Linked DNA regions of Xenopus tropicalis. The protein of the gene in region 1 interacts with the protein of each later gene in a biochemical or structural test. Links are inferred from orthologs where the notes say so. Each region holds a gene or a part of one and is shown in the gene's direction. Other genes may lie near its edges.

Region 1 (3,500 bases):
GTTCAGCCCAATATCGGTCACCTCGGTTAGGCATATCGGGAAAGAATCTCCCCGATAGAGGTTCCCAGTATGTATAAAAAGGTGATGTAAGTTGAGAGTTTTTAGCCCTAGTTGTGCCTTATTCATTGTGGTCTCCTCAGCAAATGAAGCTACTTCTATATTCTAGAATTCCAAGCAGTGCAACAGCCATTGGTACAGCGAACCTCCTTCCCCAGCTAGGTGTGTGTGTGGATTAGGTTTGGATGTGCCACAACGGCAGCTTGCTTGATTCATTAGGAAGGCACCAAAACCAGCTGGCCGTGAGACAGTACTGATCTTCACATGGGACATAGCATTGCTTTTGACATAGTACCCTTTTGGCAGTTTACTTTCCAGAATCCAGAAAAAGTGGGCAGTCTTTCTTAGCTGTTAAACTGTAGGTGAGTAGGTTCTCAGTCAACATGCTTTTGACTCCCTAGTTCAGCAGAAGCTGCCAGAACTTTTTGGTGGCAGCTCGGAATCCTCTGTTTATGAGAATAGATGCTGTGGTCATTTCATAATTGTTCTGATTTTCATATGCACCAGAGGTTACCTCTTTAGATTAGAGGAACAGAACTTTGGAACAGAGTAGGAAATTTTTCATGGCGAGGGCAGTGCGGTTGTGGAATACCCTGCTGAGTGAATTTATGATGGCAGATTCTGTTAAAGGGGACAAATACTATACATTTTTACAATGCACTCAACCATGTAAAATAATGTCAAATAGAAGTAAGTGCGTTTATTTTAATACCTTTTGGTTCAAATATGCCCATAACTGCTTGAAAACTGTGCTCTACCCAGTCCTTTTGCAAGCTTCCGGTTTAGACTCTTCAGTATGTGGCTGGGGCCCTGATAGACTTCAGTAACAGAGCAGCAGCTACTTAAAGTGCAGTGAATATGCATAGGGTGGGCAGGGCTTTGCAATGTCACAGGCAGTCTGTTCCTGCTCCAGCTATATAGTTTATAGCTACGTGCGTATATACGTGCATAGATCGGTATAAAGTGTGTGTATATATGTGCAGAGGGGTTCAACTTGATGGACTTTGGTCTTTGTCTTTTTTTCTCCAACCCAATCCGTAATCTATATAAACATGGTTCCATTTATTCCATTGCTTGCGAGGGTCAATGAGACCATAAAGAACAGCAGTAGGTTATCATTATAGGCACTGACTCCTGCTTGGTAAAATTTATAGCAACACTGATATTGTATTGCGGTCCACCTTTATTGGACAGTATTGTATTGCAGACCACTTTTTGGCACCCAGCTTAAAAGGAGTCTAGCTTTCATAAATATAATATATTAGAAGCAACGAGGGGTTCTATGACCATATAAAGGCACAAGGATAAAGGTCATTTAGGTCATGGACCTCTGACTTGACCCTCATATTAAAGAAGGGGTATATTTTATCATGTTTCATGCAGTCACGTGACACAAATTGCATTAGTAAGCACTTGTTATAACTGATTACATTACTAACAACCATTTCTAAGAATATAATTTACATGATTTTCATGGTTGCTGTGTCTTATAATTGTATGTTTAAGTTAACTGTTCCGTATTTTTCAGGAATTCTTGGATCTCCATCTCAAGAGGACCTAAACTGTATAATCAATTTAAAAGCTAGGAATTACTTGCTTTCCCTTCCTCACAAAAATAAGGTGCCATGGAACAGACTTTTCCCTAATGCAGATCCTAAAGGTAATTTGAATTCATTTTTTGGTTGGGGGTGGGGATGAAAGGGAAAGATTTTACTGTTCCAAGGAATAATATATTTTTAAACTGTATGCCACTTGTTTCAACCTATTGGTTGCATTAAGTGCTCTGTTAAAACAGTCGTCAGAATTAGTAAGAGATTGATGGTTTTTCATAAATTAAATGCATCAGGGACAATAATTTCCTACTGTCTGATATAGTCAAACCAGGAGCTAAGCTTTGTCAGTAATGTGTTCTCTAATACTTACTTTATGATGCAAATTATATTTAATAGAAGGTTTACTATTAGTCTACTTCTGCTGTTTTTAAAATCAATATACTGGTCGTTTACAAAGATCCATTAAGCAGGTTTGAACATTGATTCAACTGAGTAGGCTGAAAGAAGCGGTAATACAAGTTTGTGTATTTTGAATCTGACTATACAGTAGATTGATCCTTTTGTTTATTCCTATATTTTGCTTTGTGTTAATGTTATCCAGCGTACTGAAATATTTTTTACTGTGACCATTAGAAAGATTTACAGTTTTAAGCATATAGCCAGTGTTGGCTATAATATTGTAGCTACCATATTAAAGGAGAAGGAAAGGTAAAAAGTAAGCTTTTTAAGAAAGGTCTATGTAGATACAGCCATAAACACTTGCAGAACTGCTTCTCTGAGTCCTCGGTGAAAAAAAATTAATTTCTTTCCTTCTATTCTGTATACATGATATTCTGTGTCAGACTTCCTTCTCTTGGAAAAATCCTTTAGGACACAGCATAAGTCTGCTCAGTTTGCTCCTCTTGCCCTCCCTTCTGCTCTCTCTCCCTTGCCTCTGTACTGTAATCTTAGTTGAGAGCTGTTCCCTGCCTGTACGCTGCTGCTAGGAAGTGACGTCACACCAAGCTAAAATGGCAGCAGCTTAAACAAACAGAGGGCTCTTCTAGGGCTGTTTACTCAGGTATCATAAAGAGTTCTGAAGAATAAATATAGTATTCCAGCTCAAACTATTGTGACTAATCTATTGGCAATAAAATGCCTGAGTAGCTTTTCTTCTCCTTTAGAGTAAGTAAAGCCTAAAAACATCTGCATTGGAGTTTACCACAAAGTGCATTAATTTGCAGTCTCTCCACTTGTCAGTTCAAACCTGCCTGCAGAATAGGGCATTTTTATATTGCACTGTGTCTTCTAAACTATCTTTTATAAACCATAAGCCAGGCAAATACTTACCTGCACAATTGATTCATGGGGCACTTAATAGAAAAAGATCAGTTAGCTCCCAATTCTCCCTACTGATATGTTGTCAAAGAAATTCTAGCTTTGGGGGGAATCAAGGTGCTCTACATGTTCAGCATGAAATGTTGGTTAACAAGGGGTTTGTAAACGAATTAAAAGAGATTTAAGGGGGGGCGTGGCCTGCATGGCTTCCTGAGTGGACATGTGCCTGTGAGCTCTATCGCAACTATCCTGAATTTGCCTCTCTAGGCGACCTTACACACCAACATTTGAGCCACGATACAACATCTGACTTCATATAGATTATGGGTGGCAACAAGGCACAAATATCATGAGCAGAAGCCGCTGCCAAACTGGGACAGTTTTTTTGACAGCCTACACAAGATGGCGGCACTACCCCACCCAGAGAGGACAAAGAGGCCCATGCCCCGTTTCCTCTACAGGAACAAGCAATCCAGCTTGTCCTTGCAGCTAACAGACAGCCGAGTAGCTTTATCCTCCAAGCTTGAGGAGGTGAAAACTGACCTCTCACTTCTCCAAGCCGACCTGCAAATC
Region 2 (4,293 bases), on another chromosome or scaffold:
ATTTAGCACCCAAGATGCTGCCAAAATTCTTATTCACTCTCTTATCATATCTCGCCTGGACTAGTGTAACTCTCTGCTTATTGGCCTTCCCCTTCAGAGACTGTCCCCTCTCCAGTCCATAATGAATACTGCTGCCAGGCTCATACACCTCTCCAACCCCTCCTGCTCTGCCGTGCCACTCTGCCAATCCCTGCACTGGCTTCCCCTACCATCCAGGATAAAATTTAAACTAAGTCAGCTCAGTGGCAGACACATGGAGCAGATTTTGGCACTAAAATACGTAAGTATTTCTGCAACAAAATATACAAATATCCGTGTTGAACTTTAGTTCTGTTCCTGAGTACTTGCACTCACTTATAAGCAGTTCCATTCTGTGGGGCCCAATGTTTTTTTACCTCATGAGGCAACATTGGGCGACTACTACTTCTTACTACTACATTCTCACTGGCAGGAAAGCATTCAAGGAGATTAGTTGCCACAGTTAAGGCCCCCATACACGGGCCGATAGAAGCTGCCGATATCTGTCCCTTGGACCGATTCGGCAGCTAATCGGCCCGTGTATGGGCAGAAACGAGCGGCCTGGCCGACCTATATCTTGCCTGAAATTGGCCAGATATCGATCGGCCAGGTTAGAAAATCCAGTCGGATCGGGGACCGCATTGGCTCGTTGATGCGGTCCCCGAACCGACTGCCCCATGGCCGCAACTGTAATCCGATCGTTTGGCTTTTTTTTTTTTTTTTTTTAAAGCAACTTGCTACCCGATATCGCCCTCCCGTAGGTGGGGATATTGGGTAAAGATCCGCTCGCTTGGCGATGATCTTATAGTGTATGGGGACCTTTAGTTGAGATCAATTGCAGGGCAACTAATCTCATGTCACTTGCCCAAGACACAGTCCAGAATGAGCACTCACATAACTGCACCAATACAGCACAGGTTTTTCATTCTATTATAACATATAGTACAATATTATTTCACTTCCTTAACAGCTTGTCTAATAACATTTCCTTATTAGCTAGTTGCACCTTTCACAACGAAACTAAATTACTCCTTTATTTTCTTCTTAAAACCCAAAGAACTGAATAAGTAACACTACAGCGGCGTTTCTCTTGCTAACACCGTCCCTTTTTATTTCATGGGCTTCCCAGCAGCAGCAGAGCAGTGGCAACACCTCACTGAATGTCCCCCGTAGGCGTGCTCCTAAATAAACCACACAAGGCGGGCCCCTATGCAAATACAACATCCCCTGATCACTGACGTCGTATCACACCACAGCTTGTCAAGCTCGCTCATTCGTCCGGGGCGTCTGGTCTCATTGACAACAAAACATCCAGCACGCGTTTGTACAAGGCAAAGAGGCGGGGCATTCCGCTTACTCCCGCGTCAGGCGGCCCAGTTCTGTCAGGGTGGGGGAGGGGCGGGGTGCGTTTCACGCCTCTTTGTGGATCCATTCTGGGCTTCTAACCATGGCACTGAAACGAGGTTTGGAAGACATAGGATTGACGTCATGTAGTGTGGAGGGAGGTGGTGCCCAAACATGGCGTCAGTTTTGTCAGTGACAGGTTCGTGAGGTTCAGTAATAGGGAACCAAGAACCGGCTCCTTTCGGGAGCGCTAGGGTTGTCACAGCCCGGGATATCATATGGAACTAAACATGGAAAATATGGAGACGCTGACGGAACTCGGAGATGAGCTCACCCTAGGGGATATTGACGGTAAGAGTGGAACTGAACGGATCTTTCTGCAGGGGGGTGCGGCTCGAAAACATTTCTGTAGTTTGGGAAATAGTAACAGCGTAGCTAGCCTGCTGCTGTCAAAGAGGGGTTGCTGGGAGTTGTAGTTTTACACAGCTCTAGCGGTTTAGGGGACTAGCCGTGTCATTCCTGATATCCAGTACTTTTTGTCCTTATGTTGGGCCCCCATTTCATTGCAGTGTGTGGAATCCATTGAGTAATCACGCCTTTTCTGAGAATATGATTACAAATTCCAGAAGGAAATAATTCATCATTAACTTGTTAGGGTTGTGTTGGCTGTGTTGTTATATACCTTGTTATATACCTTGCCGGATTAAGGTTAGTTACAGGCATTGCGCCTGGTCTGGGCCACTTGGGCTGGAAAGGTTTGGGGGGGAAGGAGATGCAAGTCTATGTAGGACTGTATATTTACTGTATATTTACTGCATTGATGCTTTAATGGCTAGGGCATCTGTACCATATATATATATATAATATAGCAAGAACAAACGGAGCACACCCTATAGAAGTTCAAATGCCCAGGGTGCTAGCAAAAAATATAAAGCAAGAAAGTAAGCTGCACACACCAGGACTTGACAAAAAATAAATTTATTTAAGAAAAGAGATCCAACGTTTCGAGCACTCACTGTGCTCTTCCTCAGGGAAAAAAAAGCTACATCCATAACTGAGTAGCTGCTTTTATCCTATGTCCATACACTCTTTTCTTCTATTAGATTGTATTTGTGGGTAAAGGTTCTGCTTTCCTGTGACCTGTCCTTTTCTAGCATTCTGTGTGATTTGGGTATTTTATTTTAATTAATTTCCCAAACCAAGAAGGCTGACCTGTTTATGTAGGTTGCTAAGTATTACGTAACCACCCCCTTTTCCTCCTGCTTTACTCTGAGATGAAGATCATTTGCATCTGAAACCTAATGACGTTTGTCATTTGCTCATAATGAATTTAGTTTCTGGACATGAATTGGACTAAAATGTCACATTTTGTTATAAAGGCAACAAATCAGTTAAGCAAAAGTGCCAATCATCTTGCATTCTTTATAATAGAATGCCTTACCGTCCCCTAGATTTATAGCCTTCATTTCAGGCTTAAGCAACAGGGATAGCAGCTGCTGGTGTTTGAGGAATAAGCATCATGACTGATACCCAGTTTCAGTATATGTGTGTGGTACCTTGTCTTTCCAAAGTATTTAATGGAGTCCTAAAAAGATTTTACTGCAGGTCCAATAACAATGTATTTTTCTGCTGAAAACATAAATCAAGTGCTGTTTAGATATAGAGTTAAACAAAGCTTGGGTCTCAGTATTTTACTGCACTTACCTTGATGTTTGGTTGGTTTTTAGGGCAGGTGATGCTGAAGTCTATGGGGCTGATTCACTAATCCACAAATCCGAATCCCGAATGGGAAAAAATCGGATTGGAAACAAACATTTTGCGATTTTTCGTAAATTGTTGCGACTTTTTCGTAGCCATTACGACTTGCTCGTAAATTGTCGCAACTTTTTCATAGCCATTACGACTTGCTCGTATATTGTCGTGACTTTTTCGTATTGAGCGCTCGTAAACGGCGGGCAAACCTTTGCGACTTTGCATGATTTTGGAAGCCTCCCATAGGACTCAATGGCACTCTGCAGCTCCAACCTGGCCCAAGGAAAGTCACCCATAGGGCTCAATGGCACTCTGCAGCTCCAACCCAGCCCAAGGAAAGTCTCCCATAGGGCTCAATGGCACTCTGCAGCTCCAACCTGGCCCAAGGAAAGTCACCCATAGGGCTCAATGGCACTCTGCAGCTCCAACCTGGCCCAAGGAAAGTCACCCATAGGGCTCAATGGCACTCTGCAGCTCCAACCCAGCCCAAGGAAAGTCTCCCATAGGGCTCAATGGCACTCTGCAGCTCCAACCTGGCCCAAGGAAAGTCACCCATAGGGCTCAATGGCACTCTGCAGCTCCAACCTGGCCCAAGGAAAGTCTCCCATAGGGCTCAATGGCACTCTGCAGCTCCAACCTGTCCCAAGGAAAGTCTCCCATAGGGCTCAATGGCACTCTGCAGCTCCAACCCAGCCCAAGGAATGTCTCCCATAGGGCTCAATGGCACTCTGCAGCTCCAACCTGGCCCAAGGAAAGTCTCCCATAGTGCTCAATGGCACTCTGCAGCTCCAACCCGGCCCAAGGAAAGTCTCCCATAGGGCTCAACGGCACTCTGCAGCTCCAACCCGGCCCAAGGAAAGTCACGATACTGAAGCTTGAATGATTCCGAAACTTTCATACTCGGCACGACGGCTACGAAAAAGTCGCTACAATTTACGAGCAAGTAGTAATGGCTACGAAAAAGTCGCGACAATTTACGAGCAAGTCGTAATGGCTACGAAAAAGTCGCGTCAATTTACGAAAAAATCGCGAAATACCGACCATTACAAAAAAAACACGTTCGGGCGCTTTTCGGACGTTCGTGGATAGGTAAATGTGCCCCTATGTATTAACACTGAAAGCAGATATGCAGTGGATAGAAATAAATACAGGCAAAGAACAGAAATTGTTTTTGTGCAT
Region 3 (4,011 bases), on another chromosome or scaffold:
CCTCTTTTCCAGAAAATACAACCCCAACTTCAACAGTCTCACCTCATAGCTTAAATCTTCCATCCCCTTTACCAGTTTAGTTGCAGTCTCTGCACTCTCTCCAGCTCATTAATATCCTTCTTAAGGACTGCATCATCCCTTGAGTCAATTCTCTTTATTATACAAGACAGCACTTTATTTGCTTTAGTAGCCACAGAATGACACTGCCTGGAATTAAACAACTTGTTATCTACCTCATTTTCCATTTTGCTGCCTGGTTTTCCAATTTTATCAAATCACTCTACAAAGTGGCAGGATCCTGCATCCTGCATGTGTTTTGCACAATTTAGTATTATCAGCAAAAATAGAAACAGTACCGTCTATGCCCTCCTCCAGGTCATTAATAAACAAGTTAAAAAGCAAAGGACCAAGGACTGACCCCTGCGGTACTCCACTAACCACACTGGCCCAATTAGAAAATGTTCCATTTACCACCACTCTTTGTAAATCTATCCTTCAGCCAGTTCTCTATCCAATTACAAATATTATGTTCTAGGCCAATATTCCTCAATTTTATCATTAACTTTTTGTGTGGTACTGTATCAAACACTTTAGCAAAGTCCAAGTAAATGACATCCACAGCCATTCCAGAGTAGAAGTTCCTGCTCACCTCCTCATAAAAGGCAATTAAGTTAGTCAAGATCTGTATAAAACCATGCTGGCAAAAACGTACTGTTTTTTGCATTCAAGTATTCTTTCCCTTATTACCCCTTCCAAAAGCTTTGCTAGTCGATGTCAAACCAGCAGGCCTATAGTTTTCAGGCTGAGAAACGGAACCTTGTAATGAGGCCCAGATGCACAAAATGTCTAATATGGACTCAGCCCAGCAAAGCAGCATGCCATTTGTACCACGCACCCACTACTGCCAGTAAACCGGACATTTAAGAGCAGTTTTGAAATCCTAGTTCTACAACGACAATCCTTTTCCTGCAGTTAGTCAGCAGTGCAAATAAACTTTTTCAGACAAAAACGTCAGGACAACACGAGTTCTCAAAAGTGGAAGGACAATATTTTAATATATAATCCCTTATTTGCAGCAGACATTGCATTGTAAAGTTATACATTAAATTTATTGGCACTGGGCATGAGTGGGTTAAGGCTCATCCGACAAATCGGCCTCCGCCCCCCTCCCACCGAGACCAGGGAAAAGTGGGCAGGGCAAAGCCGCCGAGGGCTCGGTCATGTGTGAGCCTACTGATTGGCTGCTGCGATCTACGTCGGCGGCAGCTCGAACTGCACACCCACTCGGTGACGCAAGCACTTTCCCCGAAGCGTTTTGTTTGCGTTGAGTTAGAAGTCATCGGCCGAACCGGGAGAAAAAAAAGAAACACCGCGATCGTACGGTCGGATTGAGCGGAGGGATTGCGTCAAAAAAGAGTTCCTGCCGGTGTTGTCGGGGTCTGACCTTGCGAGCGCCTCACGCCTGTGGATTACAATAGCCCTTTCAGTAGGGCCCTCGGTTTCTGCGTGCATAGGACAAAACCCTCGGCGCTTGACACAGCTCCGGAGCGTCCCTCCCCCACTCGCTTGGCATGGAGGGATCTGTAGTAGCGAGCGACAAGAAAAGGTGGGTGCTCCGCCTCTGTGTGCGCCCTCTGACCTGCTGTTCCGCTGTCCGAGACCCCTGGCCTCACACCCTTTCCTTTAGTCAGGCCATTGCAATGAATGAGCTATTGATTCCATAGGGCAGAGTTGTAGATCTGAGCCACAGGTTGAGCAGAGAAGCACAGGGCCTGCCTGCCAACGCCGCTTGTGTTAGTCCGGGCAGCAGTGGAGGCTGCTGTGGGGCTGAGTGTGCTAACAGCCGGAGGGGCCGCCACTAAACAAATGTTGTTTTCATTCCAACTCCAACACTAATTTGTTTCCCATCTGTACTAATGTTTGCCCTTCCTGGACCTTCTGCGTCGCCATTTTGTGCGAGACTTCCTAAGTTTCTGCTGCTTCCCTGTTTGCTTCAGCTTTTATACTGAGCCGAGTGCCAGGCTGCTGTGAGTGTAATGGCAGCCCCACACACCAAGGCCTCTCATATCGGTTATTTCTGTTTAACTGATTATAACTAGCAATGTACCACATTCATGTATGTATTCTCCACTTACAACTATTATTCTGTGTGTATGTATATATACATACATAGAATTTGTTTAAGCATTGCTAAACATTTGTACCATACTTTTTCTGTGATCGTAATATTTAGTCAGGACACTATTTGCAGGGAGTGGGAAATGTTAGTGATACTAACTCAGGGGTGATTATTATTATTATCATTAACATTTATGTATAAAGCGCCAACATATTCCGCAGCGCTGTATAATAAGTAGGTTTCATACATTGGACATACAGAGTAACATATAAAGCAATCAATAACCAATACAAAAGGTGGAGAGCCCTGCCCAAAAGAGCTTACAATAGAAGTGTATTAGATAGTCCTGGAACTTTTGTAGGGTGGCAGTTAAAAATACGTTTTCACATAGGTGACAGTTTATTGATCCATACAGGAGCCACGTTCAGCAGGGTTAAAATATATTCAGTTGCTTCCATGTCGTTTGTGGCATAGGATATGCACATATTTTAGCACCATAGCAGTATATTAACTTGTGGGGTATAACCTTTATTTACTGTAACTTTGTAAGGTCATATGTAAAGGCATGAGAATTGTGATAACTATGCCAGTCAGTCATGTGATGTTGAGTTGCCGTAATGTATTTAGAGCAAGAGTAGTATGTCTCCCTCACCCAAATGTTGTGTAAGCTAAACCCATGTTTCTGGCTCGGATGATGTTTCTAAACTTCAAAGTTGTGTGATTGCCATAGTCTCCTGATCTATCTTGGGAGTTCATAGAACACCCAGAATTGCCTCTTATCTTATTGAATTTACACATTGTATCGCTTCAATGTACACAGTGCTCTACATGTCATAAACACAAACCAAGGTTATAGTTATCATAAATTAGACAGTGAGAATAAATCAATACTTAAAGGAACTGTTCAAAGTAAAAATAACACTGGCTGAATAGGCTGTGCAAAATAAAAAAAAAAAAAAAATGTTTTTACTATGGTTCGCTAAAAATGTAATCTATAAAGGATGGGGTGAGCGGATGTCTAATGTAATAGCCTGAATCTAGCTTCCTGCTTTGCATCACTCTAAACTGTTAGCAACTAGAAGGGGGGCCACATGGGACATCACTGTTCAGTTTGTGTGCTTTTAATCCTGACCTGCCTGCTCATGGTCAAAGTCAAACTAACTGGACAGTCGCTGACTAGCTAACAGGTTAGAGAGAAGCAAAGGAGTTAGTAGTTTTCTGGTGTTTATTTAATACATCTTTTCACTCCAGCCTCTATATATTACTTTTTTTGGCTAACTTTTTTAACAAACAGACTATGCAAAAATGTAAATAAATGTTTTTAATACAGTCAGTTGGGAAAAAATGTAATAAGAAAGGCTGGCATGAGCAGATGTCTAACATAATAGAATTTAACTTCCTCCTTTGCATTTCTCTAACCTAGATAGTCAGTGACTGTTAAAGTAGTTTGTGAGCACACAGGTCAGGGTCAAAGGCGTTTGCCTTTGACCCTGAACAGGTATGTCCGGATGAAAAAAATCTGTGTGCTTTTTAGTACTGTTTGATTCAGTCCTCTTTAAGCAGTCATTTGAAGTTGCCTGGAATTTGGAGGTCTGCTTGAGGCCATAGTTGGATTGCATTCAGTTACCAAATCTCAGCATGCACAAGGCAGTAGGAGTTGATATATTAATTTAATATCCATTCAGGCTGATTTATTGGTAATTACAGTATATTTTTCCAGGGTCGAAGGGACCTTGTATGTAAACAGGCATAAATACTAGAAAAGTGTAGGAAAAGTTAGGAAAGCTCAGTGGTAACCCCCCCAACTACATGTAAACGTGTTTCTTGCTTGAAGTTGGATAGTTTTAACAAGCAACCAAGATACACTGGCATTAAAATTGGCCTGGGTATAA
Region 4 (3,939 bases), on another chromosome or scaffold:
AGCTGATACTCAATTCTGATTATTTCTGATGCAAAAAAACAGCGGTCTGAGGCTGAGCATCCACTCCCAGCCATAGAGCTCATTTTCAATCCAGCCTGCCTCTATTGCAAAATCTTGATTAATAAAATCAATTCTTTGTGTGGTTAAGTACTTTTTGCAGGCCTTGGCTCACAAGAATTGCTGAAAACTAAAGGTTTATTGGATGGGTCTCCAAGCTGTAAACTCGTGTGTGTAGTGTATGCTATTCTGCTATTATATTGCCCCCCCCCCCCCCCCCCCCCACTCTGTCAGATGCCTTCTTTAGAAGATAATAATTATGGATGTGCTGGATATGGTGAAAAGATCAAATGCCTTTTCCATCTTTCCAAAGCTCAGTGGATTAACCCACATATTTTACAGCAAATCGTTAGCAAACCAGAGGACCAAACAAAGGGCTTTCAAAAGTATTTTAAGAATGTTAATCAGAAAAATCGCATGAATGATAAGTACCATCTGCAAATAGTTTTATTCTCTGTGAAACTGGTACTGAGCAGGACCTAATCATCATAAATCCAGAACTGAGTTTATTTGGGGGGTGGGGGTAAATTGCCTCATATCGGGACGTAATTCTTAACATTCCACAGTAACAAATCTTGATCACCAAAAGTGAAATAGAAACTGATTATAGAATATGGAAGCTGTGGTGTTAACTTCATTCCAAACAGAGCATTCACGTATGACATCACACCAATGAAAAAGTAGTACACACGAATAAGCAAAAAAAAAATTAGAATAAATCAGTGATGAATAAAAATTCATCAGTTTGTGATGTATTACAAAAAATACTGAGAACACTTCGTGCCTCTTATTTAAATAAAATCCTGAGGGCTCCACTGAGCTCCTTCTGACGGGTTAAGGTTACAGCAGTTTATTTCCTGCTCTGGCAACATGACAGCTCTGAAGCGTTTGTGTGTATAGAGTGTTTGACTTTGCTGCTAAGGCTCTGATGACGTTAATCTACTTGGCGGGGTTTGCCAGGAGGGGCGTGGCTAGACTCGCTGAAGTCACCGACCCACGTGATACAAACCATTCATAAAACAACTCCCATTGCCCTGTATAAATAGGAGGCTAGCTAGCCGAGCTCTAGCAAGAATTCAAGCCAGCAAGGAAACATCAACTTTAAGTAACCGTAAGAAACAAGAAGGAACCAAGAAACACAACTTTAAAGTCTGGCTTGTTTTAGATAAAACGTTTAGATCAAAGCAGTATTTATTTTTTTAACAGTTAATAAGCTTTTATTGGATCAAAGAGGCGCCGGAGCGTAAAAGAAGCGGGAGAGTGGAGCAGCCTATTGTTGAGGATTGTTCGGCACATTAACTATGGTCAATATGGAAATCTGCGCTATGGATTGCTGCGTGTTGAAAGGACTGTTAGCTGAGAGAGCCCACAAATGCCTCATATTGGACTGTAGGTCGTTCTTCTCCTTCAGCTCCTCCAACATCATTGGCTCCAGCAATGTTCGCCTGAGCACCATAGTGAAGAGGAGAGCTAAAGGCAGCATGGGCTTGGAGCACATCGTCCCCAATGAGGAGCAGAGGTGCCGGCTGCTGGCTGGGATGTACGAGGCGGTGGTGCTGCTGGATGAGAGGACATCAGAGCTGGACATGCTAAGGAAGGACAGTACCATGATGCTGGCAGTTAATGCCCTATGTAGGGACTCCAGGGGCAGCAGCATCTACTTCCTAAAAGGTACATTAAGCTCCACTTCTCACCGATAAATGTGTATTGTTGGGTACTTCTACTTTAAACGTCAGGGGTGGCCAGCCTGTTGTTGAATTTCCCTCAGATCAGGACCCAGCCTTCCTCCAGTGCTCAGGGGCCCTCCATATCAAAGTCCAGTCCTGACACTGACAGTGTTTATATGTAACATTTTGTGCACTTCAGTGGCAACTCTGTATCTCCCTGTGGCTGCTGAGTGAGGCTTGTGTTCACAAATGCACTTAGTGCAGTATGACCCCTACCTACCACCCTGAATTTAGTCATTTAGCTGCAATTCAGATTTGTCCCATTCTCAGAGCTTGCACTTGGGTGACATTATCACAAGTAAGGCAAGTTAGGTGTTTGATCAATGTGGCCACTTAGAAAACAAGTGCTTAAAGGGCAATGTGTAACAAATCATGCAATTACAGCCTCTGTTCAACTTCTGTGTACATATCTAACCATTCGCATGTTATTGTGTATTTCAGGTGGCTATGAGACATTTTCTTCACAGTGCCCAGAATTCTGCAACAAAAGCTCTCCTCCAGTTTGCCTGAGTTTGCCTCTTAGTACCAGCAATGTGCCAGGCAGTGCTGACTCCAATTGCACTCCTTGCGGAACTCCACTCTATGACCAGGTTAGTATTTATTCTATTCGTTAATCCTGCCATTCTCTAAATGGCAAAAACTGGTAAAAATTCCCCCCTCACAATCTCTGTCCAGGCTATTCACTGAATATTTACCAACACGCATTGCTGATAAAGATCTTTGTTTTGTTTTTATCCCAGAACAATGAAAACTGGCAGTGCATAGCTACTCTTTAGCATACAGCCATATAGGAAATGTGTAATTCATAAACTAGAATTTTACAAAAGAAATTCCTTAACTGAATGTAAAAGTCAGACATGAGTGTAACAGTTCTATAATGCCTGGGCAGTGGATAAAACTGGCACAATCTAGCTGCACTCGCCAATCCCTGTGTATATAAATGAAACAAAACATTATTTACTTAGTGGTTCTTATATTTACCATATTGTTTTTGCTTATGTATTTTAGGGGGGACCAGTGGAGATTCTGCCTTTCCTGTATTTGGGCAGTGCATACCATGCATCAAGAAAAGACATGCTGGACGCCCTTGGCATTACAGCCCTCATCAATGTATCAGCAAACTGTCCCAATCACTTTGAGGGACACTTTCAGTACAAGAGCATTCCCGTGGAAGACAGTCACAAAGCAGACATCAGTTCGTGGTTCAATGAAGCTATTGATTTCATAGGTAAGACGAAACTCACTTTTGTCTTGTCAATATATAGAAGACCATTCCTCAAAAGTGCAGCAATATTATTGTGTAGCAATATTATTATTACGTGCTATGCATTAACATTCAGTTTCTTACTTTCTAATGTTTTCAGTGGTCAGCTGTAATCTTAGGGAGAGTTAGATTGCCCCCTAGTGGGTAAAACCAATTACCAGTATGGTTTCTTCACAATCTTGGACTACATTCATTCACATATATTTAATATGTGTTTATTAAACTTCTATTAAACATGTATTTAAATATTTGGTATATTTTTTTACATACACGTTTCAACACATAAACACCTACTCCTTAATACTTTCTTCTGTAAATAGGTTAATAGGACTAGTTCATCTGTGGAATCTCAGGCTTGTATGCAAGACCTCTGTTTTTAGTATTGTATGTGCTCATGTAGCTCTGAGGTTTGACTAAAAAATAATTGCAGTTTTAGCTGTAGGAGAAATGAAAAGAATTTTAGTTATCATGTTGCAGATCTTTTACAAGTTCTCCCAAAAATAACCTTTGTTTTGTTTTTTCCCAGACTCAGTAAAAAATTCCGGTGGAAGGGTTTTTGTCCACTGCCAAGCTGGTATATCCCGATCTGCTACCATCTGTCTTGCCTATCTTATGAGAACCAACCGTGTGAAGCTGGATGAAGCATTTGAGTTTGTCAAGCAACGGAGAAGTATAATCTCCCCAAACTTCAGTTTTATGGGACAGCTTCTTCAGTTTGAGTCTCAAGTGCTAGCACCATCATGTTCAGCAGAAGCAGGTAGCCCTACAATATCTGTTCTAGACCGAGGAACATCCACTACCACAGTCTTCAATTTTCCTGTTTCCATACCTGTCCACTCAGGAACAAGCTCTCTCAGTTACCTTCAGAATCCCATCACTACATCGCCAAGC
Region 5 (4,259 bases), on another chromosome or scaffold:
CGCGTTACACTTATGCGTGCGCTGGACAGTTCCTCCCCTGACGCGTTACACTTATGCGTGCGCTGGACAGTTCCTTCCCTGACGCGTTACACTTATGCGTGCGCAGGACAGTTCCTCCCCTGACGCGTTACACTTATGCGTGCGCAGGACAGTTCCTCCCCTGACGCGTTACACTTATGCGTGCGCTGGACAGTTCCTCCCCTGACGCGTTACACTTATGCGTGCGCAGGACAGTTCCTCCCCTGACGCGTTACACTTATGCGTGCGCAGGACAGTTCCTCCCCTGACGCGTTACACTTATGCGTGCGCAGGACAGTTCCTCCCCTGACGCGTTACACTTATGCGTGCGCAGGACAGTTCCTCCCCTGACGCGTTACACTTATGCGTGCGCAGGACAGTTCCTCCCCTGACGCATTACACTTATGCGTGCGCAGGACAGTTCCTCCCCTGACGCATTACACTTATGCGTGCGCAGGACAGTTCCTCCCCTGACGCGTTACACTTATGCGTGCGCAGGACAGTTCCTCCCCTGACGCGTTACACTTATGCGTGCGCAGGACAGTTCCTCCCCTGACGCGTTACACTTATGCGTGCGCAGGACAGTTCCTCCCCTGACGCGTTAAACTTATGCGTGCGCTGGACAGTTCCTCCCGACGCGTTAAACTTGTCGGGTGGGGGACCATGCAGGGGGGTGTTAGGGGGGCCCCTGCGGGGGGACAGTGGGGGCACCAGCCCCAGTGGGCCCTGCACCCCTCAGTCCGACCCTGTGAGGACAATTTATTGGCACAATATTGCTTTTCACACAATATGTTCCCATTTATCATCTTCTTTACGTAAATCTTGTCCCAGAGAAGGTTTTGTGCAGCTGCAGTGAAAATGCCACAGATCCTGCTGGGCAGGTGGAGCAATAAAGGCAGGAAACAAAAGTTTTGCCTGATAGATAATACTGTCTGAGCACCTCTGGGGGTACAGGATACTGTATTACTCACTGTTATACCTGCAACACTAACGAATGATGACTATCAGGCAAAAGAGAGTGGTATTGCTTTCAGGCAGGCCTGAAGTGAAGGGAACACAGTAAATAAGGGGATACATACACTAGAACAACACCCCCAGCTCTGCAGCCATACAGCCCGGCTGTGCGTCCCAGTGAGCTGCCTGCGGACACAAATACTAACATGCTTGTGCTTTCCGAATTTTACGACACTGCGTTATTTCTACACGACCCTTTCACGGAAAAGAAAACTATGCAGGGCTGTGCCCTAGTTTCCAACTGCAACGTAAAATGTTTCCCCAGAGGAACATGTTAATAACACCGCATTCCACTCACCAAATAGTCCGTGTTTCACACTCGTGGCGAACATCAGTTTCCGGTTCATTTTCTGTGCGTTTCCGGAATTTTACACCATGCTTTAAAGGTTACCGCTAGTTCCTAGCAGCGGGCCGGCCTCTCATCAAGTCACTTGCCTATGGGCGCAGCGTCACCGTCACATGGGGCAGTGTATTGGGCCGTAAAGCGCCGCCGCGGTGTGACTAGCGGGTAGTACTGCCCGGACGCTGCAGCTTTTACACAGAGAGGGGGTTACAGAGCAGTTTATATTTGCAGATCTCATCTTTCTGAGGTGTGTTGCCCTTAATATGTTGAGGGAATTGGGGGCAGCTTTTTGTGTGCTGAGGGGTTTTTTTTTGTAAGTGTACTAAGTTTTTTTTGTAGGCTTAATTTTTGGGGGGTGTTGAGTGGGGTTTTTTTGTGGGGGACATACCTCCCAACATTTTGAAAAGGGAAAGAGGGACAAATGTTTTGGCCACGCCTATTTTTGTGACCACGCCCCCTAAATAACACTCCCATTTAACTAAATTTGGCAGGTTATTTAAAGTTTGAACACATTTCTGGGGATTTTGGGGTCTTGTTTTATGTGTTTGGTTAAAAAAGCTGAAATTGCCCATTAAGCTGCAAGTCTCAGTTTCCCCAAGAGACCTGTTTAGCTTATTAGTTACAATTGTTTCTCAGTGCAGGTGTTGAGTATTCTGGGCTCTCTGCCAAAAGCTACTTATCTAATTAAGTTTCAGAAACTTTGTATCTTTTTTGGCATTCAGTGCAGGGGATCAAAAGGAAATGAGTAAGAATCCAGGACTGTGGGTTGAGCTGTCAAATGAGGGACTGTCCCGCGAAAATCGGGACAGTTGGGATGGGAGGGAACAATATTCATATCTTTAAACCCCCTGATGTGGGTTTTTTTTTTCTTTTTGTTGCCCTGCAAAAGTTCGGAGGGCTCTAAGCTGCAAAGAAAGCTTCACCCACTTGGCCATGTCTGGTTATGAGGTCTCTGTTCAGGCTCTAAATGATCTGCTAGCAGAAGAAGATGGCGGTTACTGCTTTCCATCAGAACATTTCAACGAGGTGTTTCCCAAAATTTACGTGGGTGATGCGTAAGTTACATTTGTGTATGGTTAAAGGAAATAGGGGGGGGGGGGAATACAGGTTTAGGCAGAGAACCTAGGGGGAGTATATTTTGATTTTGGGAATCCTCATAGAACAGTCGGAGATTCTGATTATTTGTATCACTGTAAAACACGCCAACAGGAATACCATGAAATTATTTTCTTTAAAGCAGCGGTTCTCAACTTGTGGGTCAGGACCCCTTTGGGGGTCGAACGACCCTTTCACAGGGGTACCTAAGACTATCGGAAAACACATATTTCCGATGGTCTTAGGAATCATTTTATGGTTGGGGGTCACCATAACATGAGGAACTGTATTAAAGGGTCGCAACATTTGCACAAGCAGAATGCCACAAACTCTTGTGCTGCTTGCCCTCCTCAATAGCTAAAAGTTAGCATAAAATTAAAGATGGCCATACATTCCCCAGACTGCAGATGTTTAATTGTATATACAGGGTAAGGGATCTGTTATTCAGAAACCCTGAAGCTGTCACACTTATAGTTAGTTACATAGGGTTGAAAAAAGACCAGTGTCCATCAAGTTCAACCCATCCAAGTAAACCCAGCACACCTCCCAATCTATACACTCACATACATAAACTATAAATACAACCACTAGTACTGACTGTAGATATTAGTATCACAATAGCCTTGGATATTCTGATTGATCAAGAACTCATCCAGGCCCCTCTTAAAGGCATTAACAGAATCTGCCATTACCACATCACTAGGAAGGGCATTCCACAACCTCACTGCCCTCACCGTGAAAAACCACCTACGCTGCTTCAAATGGAAGCTCTGTTCCTCTAATCTAAAGGGGGGGCCTCTGGTGCGCTGATTGTTTTTATGGGAAAAAAGAACATCCCCCAACTGCCTATAATCCCCTCTAATGTACTTGTACAGAGTAATCATGTCCCCTCGCAAGCGCCTCTTTTCCAGAGAAAACAACCTCAACCTCGACAGTCTCACCTCATAGTTTAAATCTTCCATCCCCTTAACCAGTTTAGTTGCACGTCTCTGCACTCTCTCCAGCTCATTAATATCCCTCTTAAGGACTGGAGCCCAAAACTGCACCGCATACTCAAGGTGAGGCCTTACCAGGGACCTATAAAGGGGCAAAATTATGTTCTCATCCCTTGAGTCAATGCCCTTTTTTATACAAGACAGCACTTTATTTGCTTTAGTAGCCACAGAATGACACTGCCTGGCATTAGACAACTTGTTATCAACAAAAACCCCTAGATCCTTCTCCATTAAGGATACCCCCAACACACTACCATTCAGTAGATAGTTTGCGTTTATATTATTTCTACCAAAGTGCATAACTTTGCACTTATCAACATTGAACCTCATTTTCCAGTTTGCTGCCCAGTTTTCCAATTTTGTCAAATCGCTCTGCAAAGCGGCAGCATCCTGCATGGAACTTATAGTTTTGCACAATTTTGTGTCATCAGCAAAAATAGAAACAGTACTGTCTATGCCCACCTCCAGGTCATTAATAAACAAGTTAAAAAGCTTGCTAGTAGGTAAAGCATAAAATTGATCCTTAAAATAACACAAGCTAACCCGAGATTGAATACAAGGAGGAGTGCTGTGGAGAGTGGGCAGTGAGGTGATCAAAGAGAGAAGCCAAAGAAGTAGGATTCAAGCTGAGTTAAACAGGAACAATCAGTAAGAGTAAACAATGGAATCACTGGAAGGACTAGAACGACTTAGTTACAAATCTAGGATGGTTTCCTCTATTGACCACTGCATTAGTTTGCACGCCTGTGCATTCATGCTGTGCATAAGGACGCCTATGTAAAGGTTTTGTGTAG
Region 6 (4,099 bases), on another chromosome or scaffold:
TGCAGAGCAACAGCACATTATATTTGAATTACTTTAAAACACTTTAATTTTTTGATGTTACTGTTCCTTTAAGGTTTCTGTACTGTGTTTTGCTGGAGGTTCTCAGAAAAAAATCTTGACATCATGAGTCACTCCTGTCTCAAGGGCATATTCTAGAGATACTGTTTGTTGTACACCAAGACAGGTAGTTTCTCATCAAAATAAAAGGTGATATTACAGTATTTCCCTGTTGGTTGAATTAGGGTTTCAGATTAACCTATACAAATCATTTCTAGTTCCATCCAGTGGCATAACTTGGCTGCTCCAGGCCCCCCTGCAAAAAAAAATCTTCTAAAGGGGCCCAGGGAGACCAGTCCCTCCACCACCTCCTGACCCTCTCACATTGCCCCACTCCCACAATATTTTAAGGTAGGAGATGGGCTGGGGAGACTATAGTACTGCAGACCCTGTGGTTCTGGCCCCCTTGCAACCACAGGGTCTGCTGCCATTAGTTTCATCCCATCATTCTCAGCACTGCAACCTATATACTCTAGGTACCCACAAAGACATTTCAAGCCATTCTGACAGGAGTTCTTGCTACAAAACAGATTACTCAAAAATGTCTGGCTGCAATAATCAGTGTTGGACTGGTCCACAAGGATACTAGGAAAACTCCCAGTGGGTCCAGGTGTCAGTGGGCCTTCTTGCTTCTATTTAGCCAATTGCATGGTCATTCCCTATTTCTGTATGGGAAAAAGAGATGGAAGGCTACAGCAAAGAAACTTGTATAATAAATAGGTTAAGCCAGCAGAGGAGCAGTAATCTTTAAAAAAAAGGGGGCCTATAGTCCAAGGTTTTCTGGTGGGCCCCTGGCATCTCAGTCGGACACTTGCAATAATAATAACACCAGACTTCCACAAAGCTTCTATTTACTGCAGAAATCCTCAATTTATCTTAAGTTACCTCCTTATAAAAAGAATTTATAAAGCTAGATGCCGGAGTCATGACTATGACAGGTCACAGATATATGCCAGCATTGCTTTCTCTCTGCTGAACGGGCCAACTACGCAAGAACAGACGGTTGTCGCTCGTAGGCATAGAGCTTTGTCTTACGCAATATAGGTGGGCTGGGCATTGGCTAGGGGAAAGGCTGGGCATTGGCTGGGGGAAAGGCTGAGCATTGGCTAGGGGGAAGGCTGGGCATTGGCTAGAGGAAAGGCTGAGCATTGGCTAGGGGGAAGGCTGGGCATTGGCTAGGGGGAAGGCTGGGGCCGGGAAAGGGGCGTGTTGCTAACGTCACGAGTCGCTGCGGAAGGTTCCAGAGAATCCATGCTGTGAGTAAGGTGTGTGCCTAGTAGTGCCTGGGAGCAAGGTGTGTGCATCGTAGTATCTGTGCGTCTGGTCCAGAAATGGAATCCGTTCTACAGGAGGTGAGAGGGCTCGATGGTCGCACCTAATGAGCAACTGACTTACTGTCCGCAACATGTTAATGAGAGCATTGTTCTGCGTGGCTCTGTGGATGTCACTAAGTTCTGCTTGGCTAAAACGCTGTGTTTATGTATAGTGTTCTCTTGGGGCAGCGATTGGGTTAATCATGGGTAATACGTTTCATAGTACCAGCAGGGCCCCCAGATTTCCTGTTCCTATAAAATAAGGAATAAATAATAGGGGGCACCAGTTACAGTTATGCTTATTTTTCCCATTAGGTTATTAGTTGCAAAAAAATCAGTAGGGTCTCTGGGCACACAGTTATTGATTCTTATGACAAACCCTTGGGGTGGGCGCAGTTTGTTAACTTCTTTCTCCCCCCCCCATCTAAACTCTGCACTATTGGGATAGAATACCCCTCTTTTTCCACATTGGTTAAATAAATAGGTTTTGTACTGAACATTTGTCTTGTCCTTTTCATTAGATAATATATATATATAGATTTTGTTATTTCTTGCTCTTAAAACAGAAAAATTAGAAAATGAAACTGAAGCCACATTCTACTCTCCGATCCCAAGGATCAAATCAAATAACCAGCAGCCCACTGAGAAGATTCTGTATAAACAAACCCCTCCTGTCCCCCAGAAACAGCCTGTTATTTTTTTGGATAAAAAGCAGCTCATTATACAAAGGCTCCTCGGTGGACTGCTGGTTTGTTTGGAATTGATTCTTAGAATCAGAAAGTAAAATGTGGCTTTATTGTAATTTTAAAAGTTTTGCCTAACTGAAAGGCAAAATGTTTTGCACAAGTCCTATTTATTGCAGCAATGTTGATAAAGGGGGTATACTGTACCTTTAACACTTTTTGTTTTGTGAATTGCTCACATGAAAATTGCATGAAATGTGCCAAGCTGCTGCTCAATTTGTTCATGTTGTGGGGCTTGAAAAAATGATTAGGGCTGCACAAGCCTGTATTTGTTTGTATATATGCTGCTGTGCCACCTTATCACATAGAACAGATTAGTTTTAATGCCTTCTTTGGCTGAATTTTATTGCAGTTTGTAGTGTATTGACGATGTAGGAAAGATCTTAAGTCTGGCAAATATAAATGTATCTGTGCCTTTCCTGTCTTCCCTCTGCTTTGCAGTCTTACGGATATAAAAGTGAAAGCAAAACTAAAGGTGGCCATACACGTGGCGATCTGACGATGTTTCGTACGACCATCGGTCGCACGAAACATCGTAAGATCCGCCACACACCATTCAGGGCTGAATCGGCAGGTAAGGAGGTAGAAACAATAGGATTTCTACCTCCTTCTGCCGATTCAGCTCTGAAGGGAGAATTTTGGTCAGGCGCCTTCTATGGCGATATCGGTCGACTCGCCGACATGCCATACACGCACCGATTATCGTACGAAACGAGGTTTCGTACGATAATATCGGTGCGTGTATGGCCACCTTAATGGAAACTGTTGTAAACTTTTCTCTTACCTACAGCAACCATTTAAGCAAATGTATCTGAAATTAAGCTCATTTAAGGAGTCCATGTCACCAACACTATGGGATATTTTTATTTATATAGCACTACTTTTGCATGCAGCATTGTACAGCAGAACAATACATAAATAGAACAAATGTGTCATTTATAAATACATAGTAAAGGTTTATTAAAGATTAAGTGCAAGCAGAAGGGGGTCCCTGTCCTGTAGAGCTTACAATCTAAGTGTACGTGCCATATCCCCAAGACTGATATAGGTATGACTGTTTTATTTTCCCAGAGCATGTTGGCTCTTGTTGATTACTGGCATTTTGATGTTTTCCCAATATTCTTAATTAAGTAATAAGACTGTATGCTGTCTATTTATAACGCTATGTATTAACCAAAGCAATTTATTATTCAGCTTCAGAAAGACTTGGAAGAGGTGAAACAGCTGCTTGAGAAAGCCACAAGGAAACGTGTGCGGGATGTGTTATTTGTTGAGCAGCGTAAGCTGGAGACAGAAATATCTACCAAACAGCAGCAACAAGCAGGGGAATCTATGGAAACCCAAAAACCATCAGCAATTGTTCCTCCAATGACAAGCACGTACACAGTCAAAATAAACAACTATGGTGAGAAAAGAGCTGATCTGAAAGAAATAACACATTTTTTGTAGGGCTAATAGATATGTGACACTGTTTAAGGCCTTTAAGAAAAACATTTCCCCAATACTACTTCTTTTACTTACAATCTGGCATTTAAAAAAAAAAAATCACTGGGGCTGTCAGGTTGTTTGGGATGCCCCCCCCAGTTATTGTAGTTGCTAGACACCTATGCCACCGTCTTGTTTTTTGTGTTTCAGGCATCCCTTGTAATATTGAAGCTAGGCTCATGTATGTATGTATGTATGTATGTATGTATAACTTTATTTATAAAGCGCCACAAGGGTATGAAGTATCTTTTTTTGATTAAATTTTCCTGGTGTGCATCAGCATTTTTTACACATTTACATTGTTTATCTGATTTGCACCCAGGTTGTAATCCACAGGGAATAAGTGCTGTGTGGTATGAGACACAGTAGGAAGGAGGTCCTTGCCCCGTAGAGCTTACATGTGCAGTACAGAAATTGGGAAAAGTTCTGTACTGCATATGCACAGGTTTGGGCTCTTCTAACACAGTTGCCACCCCCATCCAGTATCATAACACACAAGAC
Region 7 (4,125 bases), on another chromosome or scaffold:
CAGTGCATGGGCATGTCCATTAGGTCCCCCCATTCTGGCACATACACACGATTCTGGGGATGATTATTTCCCTTATAACAGTGTCCAAAAAATGGTGCTTGCTTGCTGTGACTGTGAAGTCCAAGACTGAAGGAAGCAAAATTAAAATAATTTATATAATGTAAGTATATTTTGCTCAACTAGTATGATAGAATATAATTTGGCATTATTTCTTAGGGTGACAGGTCTCCTTAAATATCCTGGAAAGAGTGCTGAGACGTGTAACCTAACATAAAAGGGATGGAAGAATTAAAATATGACTGTGAAAGCTGGAGTTGAATTCTCTGGAAAAAATGTGAATTAAAAGGGGGAATGATTACTCTTCACAAGTGCATTCTGGGGCATTATAGACAGATAATAGGGGATCTTTTCTCCCATAAAAATGCTACCTGTTTAGATTTGAGGAACTGAACTTTCACTGTAAGGGCAGTGAGGTTGTGGAATACCCTGCCAGGATAGGTTGTGGTGGATGCAATATCTTTATTACAGCACAAGTGGATTATAAATGAGATATTTCTGACAAACAACTTTGTGCAAGGCTAAAGGGGTAGATGCCTTGCAGCACTGCTTGAAGACTGTAGGTAAAAAGCCCATTTTTTTGTTTGTTTGTTGGTGCACCAGTGAGCACATCAAAATAAGGCAGTAAATATTATAGGTTAGATGTTTATATTGAGCAATAGCCAGTTTATTCTTTTTGCTCACCCCCAATTCACCAAAGCCATGTAACCAAGGGACCGTGACAGCTGCTTTATTAAGTCCAACAACTGTTCGCTACAGTAGCTCAACGCAGATAATGAAAGGTGCTACAAGCAACAGGTCTGCATTTTCTCTCCAGGAATCTGGAAACTGCTGTTATGAATCCAGATTTTCACCCCCGATTGCTATAACAAACCAAATGCTATCTGTTTAGCCTCACTTCTGTACAAATAGCAGCTAAGCGTCCCTTACCTCTCTCTCCCAGCCACACTGCTGACTGGGCTGTAGAAATTGCCCCCCAATCAAAAGTCGCCTTTCCCTCTGACTCACAATCATACGCACCCTCTTCCCAGTAGCCATTTTTGTTTTGGTCAAACAACTCTTCTAAAATATAAAGACTATTGGCGCTGTAAAACAAAGTAGCACGGACAACTAGCGAAGTGGTGACTGTGAACTTCAGAAACCATTTTAGACTTGTACTCAGTAGTTTTTCCCTACTCAAAGATAATCGCTGTTTCTGAAGAAATTGCGAATTCCATTGACGTCATCACATCGCGACACCCTTGGGTGCTATATTTTCCCAAGAACCTCTAGGCTTGGAAAGGCTGTCGTCATAATTATGCGTCAGCCCGTGGCGCCTTAAAGAAATCCTCAGTTCCCAGCGATCTGTGCGTTTCCCCCCTCCGGTGGGTATCTTCTGTGGCAGTATCAGTGGCAGCGCATTTCCCTTACCAGCTCACGCTGCCGGCAACATGGCGGCTGTTCTGCAGCAAGTGCTGGAGAGGGCTGAACTGGCCAAGCTGCCCAAGGCTGCGCAGACGAAACTGGAACGCTTTTTATCGGAGCAACAAGCCGAAATGGAATCCGTGAAAGCCCGACACGAGAAGTTCCGGGTGGATTGCGGTACGGACATGCGAGCGTTCGGTTTCTGGCAGGTTATCGATTCTCATGTGGGGAATTGCAGGCAGAATGGCCCATGCGGTGCATAGATCTATATGGCTACAATTTGTCTGTGCACGTTTTTTGCCCCCGGTGGTCTATGCAAAGCACAAGCAATAAAGCTAGTGGCTACTTTTATACCTTTCCCTCTGGGCACAGGCATCTGTGGGGCTATGGGCAGAAGGGGCAATTGCTCTGCTTTCAGCATCTCCGGGGCTTCTTAGCAGATAAGGTTTTCCAACTTTCTGGCGTCAGTTTATGTATAAATGGTACATAAACCGTATCTAAGTTTCCAAAAATAAATATGAATGTCAAAGGGAACAGTTCCTTCTCCCCATTAGACTGACAGTGTATTGCAACATTGTTCCATTGTCAAGTTATTGCTTTTGGAACTTGATGTCCCTGTTTTTTATGTAGGGTGATGCACCAATTATCTGGAAAGCAGAGGAGCTTTGAGATCCAGAGTCCCTCACTATGGTAAAAGAAGTGGTTTGCTTTCCACTGTGAGTCTAAGGCAGGGGTGGGCAAACTTTTTGGCTCACGGGCCACATTTACTTACCCCCAGACCAGACCAGGGCAGGACCAGGCCAGCGTTACGCCCCCTTAGTCTGTTTAATTCCGGCCCGCCAATGACGCCAAGTCTCGCGTGATGAGACTTGGCGGCGGGCCGGATTAAAAAGGCCAAGGGGCCGGATGTGGCCCGCGGGCCGTAGTTTGTCCACCCCTGGTCTAAGGGAAGCGGCCCCCAACCTTTTTAACCCGTGAGCAATATTTAAATATAAAAAAAGTTCCTGGGCGTGAGCCTGTAATTGGTTATTTTGTAGCCAATATGTGGAGGGGCAGAGTACAGGAGGCTCTGTTTGGTAGTACCCATGGTCTCTATGTCTCCAGGGCAAATTAAACTAATGAGCACCTGTTTTTAGGCCACGGGGAGCAACATCAAAGAGGGTGATGAGCAACATGTTGCTCACGAGCCACTGGCTGGAGATCGTTGGTCTAAGGGTTTGGGAACTGGTCCCAAAAAGCACATACATAATATCGCTATAAGTAAATTTATATTTATGGAAGTTCAGTCTGTGTTCATGCACTTTTTCTTCATAAGCCCAGCTAAATAAGCTCATTTCAAAAAGGTGTGTATTTTCCCTTTAGATCTGAAGTTTGGGCATCCCTGACTTATATGATTTCCCCAGCAAGCTGTGTAGCAAGGATCTTCAGAATTCTGTTAGACCCTGAAAATGGATTAGGAATTATCTAGCCACCCTAACCAGTGCAGTTTATAGCGATAAATGGTTCCTCAAGACAGGCTTACTTTGGCACAGGGACCATTTATATTTTATCAAATATCGGATGTGTGAATTTTGCACTTTAAAATGAAACAATAGAAATGGTATCATGTTAAATGATCATGTTATATTGCAAACACAAAGGGGGCATTTACTAACATTAATATTTCCCCCCACCCCCAATGTTTTTTGCGCTAAAACTTATGTGGGGGAAAAAAGGTAATTTTTTCACCATTGCATCAAGACTGGGACCAATCCTTAAATAAAGATACGCCATCTAAATGCTGTTGAGGGCATGTAGAAGTCAGTGGGCAGCTGTCCTTTTTCCAGTTAGAAGATCCATTGAAAAACGCAAAAAATTTGAAATGATCTTTTCATCACATCATATTGTAAGGTTCTGGACAGAAGGACTAACTAGCTTTCCCTACCGTGAACACAACTGAAACCTGTCTGTTAAGGAATCTTAGATAGTATAATTGCTCGAAATACCTCCCGGCTGCCCTACAGAATACTGCTGTTTTATGCAAAAAAAAAAGTGGAATGCCCTGGCTGGGCCCTACTTTGCCCACCATTACAGCCTGGAAGAATTTGGTGAACACGGTCATTCCTCTATACATACCTCCTGTATCAGACTATGGGTGCATTGGATAAATTTGACAGTTTATTGGTCCCTGGTGTGATTTGAAGGGTAACTGAGGAGTTTCATACCCATATACATCTCATGACTCCGGGACCCAAGCCTCCCCACTTCTTTTGACACAACCTGAGTACCTAGTTTAGTTGGTTGATGGACCTAATACACAAACTACTGCCAGGTTTACAATCTGTACTGTTATACCCATCCTTTTAATGCCTGTAATGAACCCTGGAGATTATGTATATTGCAATTGTATAATTTGAACTGGAAAATTAAATACTTGCATTTTATCCCATTGTATTGTCAGATGCGCTGCTTTTATGTTTTGTGTTTGAGTTAAATGATAAAATACACCTTTCAAAAAAAACAATAAATATATATTTTTTTAGATCAACAATACTTTGAAATTGAGAAAAGGCTGGCTCAGTGCCAGGAACGACTTGTGACTGAATCTCAGGAGTGTCAGAATCTGAGGGATCAACTAAGTAAACAAAGTATGGAACTGAATAATCCGTATATGTTTATCTGTTA

The links.
Region 2: of the proteins of mapk1 (region 1) and srebf2, one has a biochemical effect on the other in vitro, tested with the Homo sapiens proteins (2 studies listed by BioGRID). The link is inferred for Xenopus tropicalis from reciprocal best matches to the Homo sapiens genes MAPK1 and SREBF2.
Region 3: of the proteins of mapk1 (region 1) and hif1a, one has a biochemical effect on the other in vitro, tested with the Homo sapiens proteins (3 studies listed by BioGRID). The link is inferred for Xenopus tropicalis from reciprocal best matches to the Homo sapiens genes MAPK1 and HIF1A.
Region 4: of the proteins of mapk1 (region 1) and dusp1, one has a biochemical effect on the other in vitro, tested with the Homo sapiens proteins (2 studies listed by BioGRID and IntAct). The link is inferred for Xenopus tropicalis from reciprocal best matches to the Homo sapiens genes MAPK1 and DUSP1.
Region 5: of the proteins of mapk1 (region 1) and dusp3, one has a biochemical effect on the other in vitro, tested with the Homo sapiens proteins (2 studies listed by BioGRID and IntAct). The link is inferred for Xenopus tropicalis from reciprocal best matches to the Homo sapiens genes MAPK1 and DUSP3.
Region 6: of the proteins of mapk1 (region 1) and cacybp, one has a biochemical effect on the other in vitro, tested with the Homo sapiens proteins (2 studies listed by BioGRID). The link is inferred for Xenopus tropicalis from reciprocal best matches to the Homo sapiens genes MAPK1 and CACYBP.
Region 7: of the proteins of mapk1 (region 1) and tpr, one has a biochemical effect on the other in vitro, tested with the Homo sapiens proteins (2 studies listed by BioGRID). The link is inferred for Xenopus tropicalis from reciprocal best matches to the Homo sapiens genes MAPK1 and TPR.

The regions. Positions count from the first base shown.
Region 1 is NC_030677.2:154,036,574-154,040,073, forward strand, and holds part of mapk1 (mitogen-activated protein kinase 1), read left to right. Parts: intron 1-1,585; coding exon 1,586-1,717; intron 1,718-3,500. UniProt on the Homo sapiens protein: Serine/threonine kinase which acts as an essential component of the MAP kinase signal transduction pathway. MAPK1/ERK2 and MAPK3/ERK1 are the 2 MAPKs which play an important role in the MAPK/ERK cascade.
Region 2 is NC_030680.2:120,124,212-120,128,504, forward strand, and holds the start of srebf2 (sterol regulatory element-binding protein 2), read left to right. Parts: upstream 1-1,493; 5' UTR 1,494-1,640; coding exon 1,641-1,713; intron 1,714-4,293.
Region 3 is NC_030684.2:101,985,074-101,989,084, reverse strand, and holds the start of hif1a (hypoxia-inducible factor 1-alpha), read left to right. Parts: upstream 1-1,211; 5' UTR 1,212-1,571; coding exon 1,572-1,606; intron 1,607-4,011.
Region 4 is NC_030679.2:41,976,985-41,980,923, reverse strand, and holds the start of dusp1 (dual specificity protein phosphatase 1), read left to right. Parts: upstream 1-1,139; 5' UTR 1,140-1,358; coding exon 1,359-1,728; intron 1,729-2,225; coding exon 2,226-2,374; intron 2,375-2,792; coding exon 2,793-3,012; intron 3,013-3,574; coding exon 3,575-3,939. UniProt on the Homo sapiens protein: Dual specificity phosphatase that dephosphorylates MAP kinase MAPK1/ERK2 on both 'Thr-183' and 'Tyr-185', regulating its activity during the meiotic cell cycle.
Region 5 is NC_030686.2:31,704,126-31,708,384, reverse strand, and holds the start of dusp3 (dual specificity protein phosphatase 3), read left to right. Parts: upstream 1-1,459; 5' UTR 1,460-1,622; intron 1,623-2,264; 5' UTR 2,265-2,308; coding exon 2,309-2,430; intron 2,431-4,259. UniProt on the Homo sapiens protein: Shows activity both for tyrosine-protein phosphate and serine-protein phosphate, but displays a strong preference toward phosphotyrosines. Specifically dephosphorylates and inactivates ERK1 and ERK2.
Region 6 is NC_030680.2:98,106,954-98,111,052, forward strand, and holds the start of cacybp (calcyclin-binding protein), read left to right. Parts: upstream 1-1,299; 5' UTR 1,300-1,388; coding exon 1,389-1,409; intron 1,410-3,307; coding exon 3,308-3,518; intron 3,519-4,099. UniProt on the Homo sapiens protein: May be involved in calcium-dependent ubiquitination and subsequent proteasomal degradation of target proteins. Probably serves as a molecular bridge in ubiquitin E3 complexes. Participates in the ubiquitin-mediated degradation of beta-catenin (CTNNB1).
Region 7 is NC_030680.2:119,711,629-119,715,753, forward strand, and holds the start of tpr (nucleoprotein TPR), read left to right. Parts: upstream 1-1,325; 5' UTR 1,326-1,487; coding exon 1,488-1,638; intron 1,639-3,983; coding exon 3,984-4,088; intron 4,089-4,125.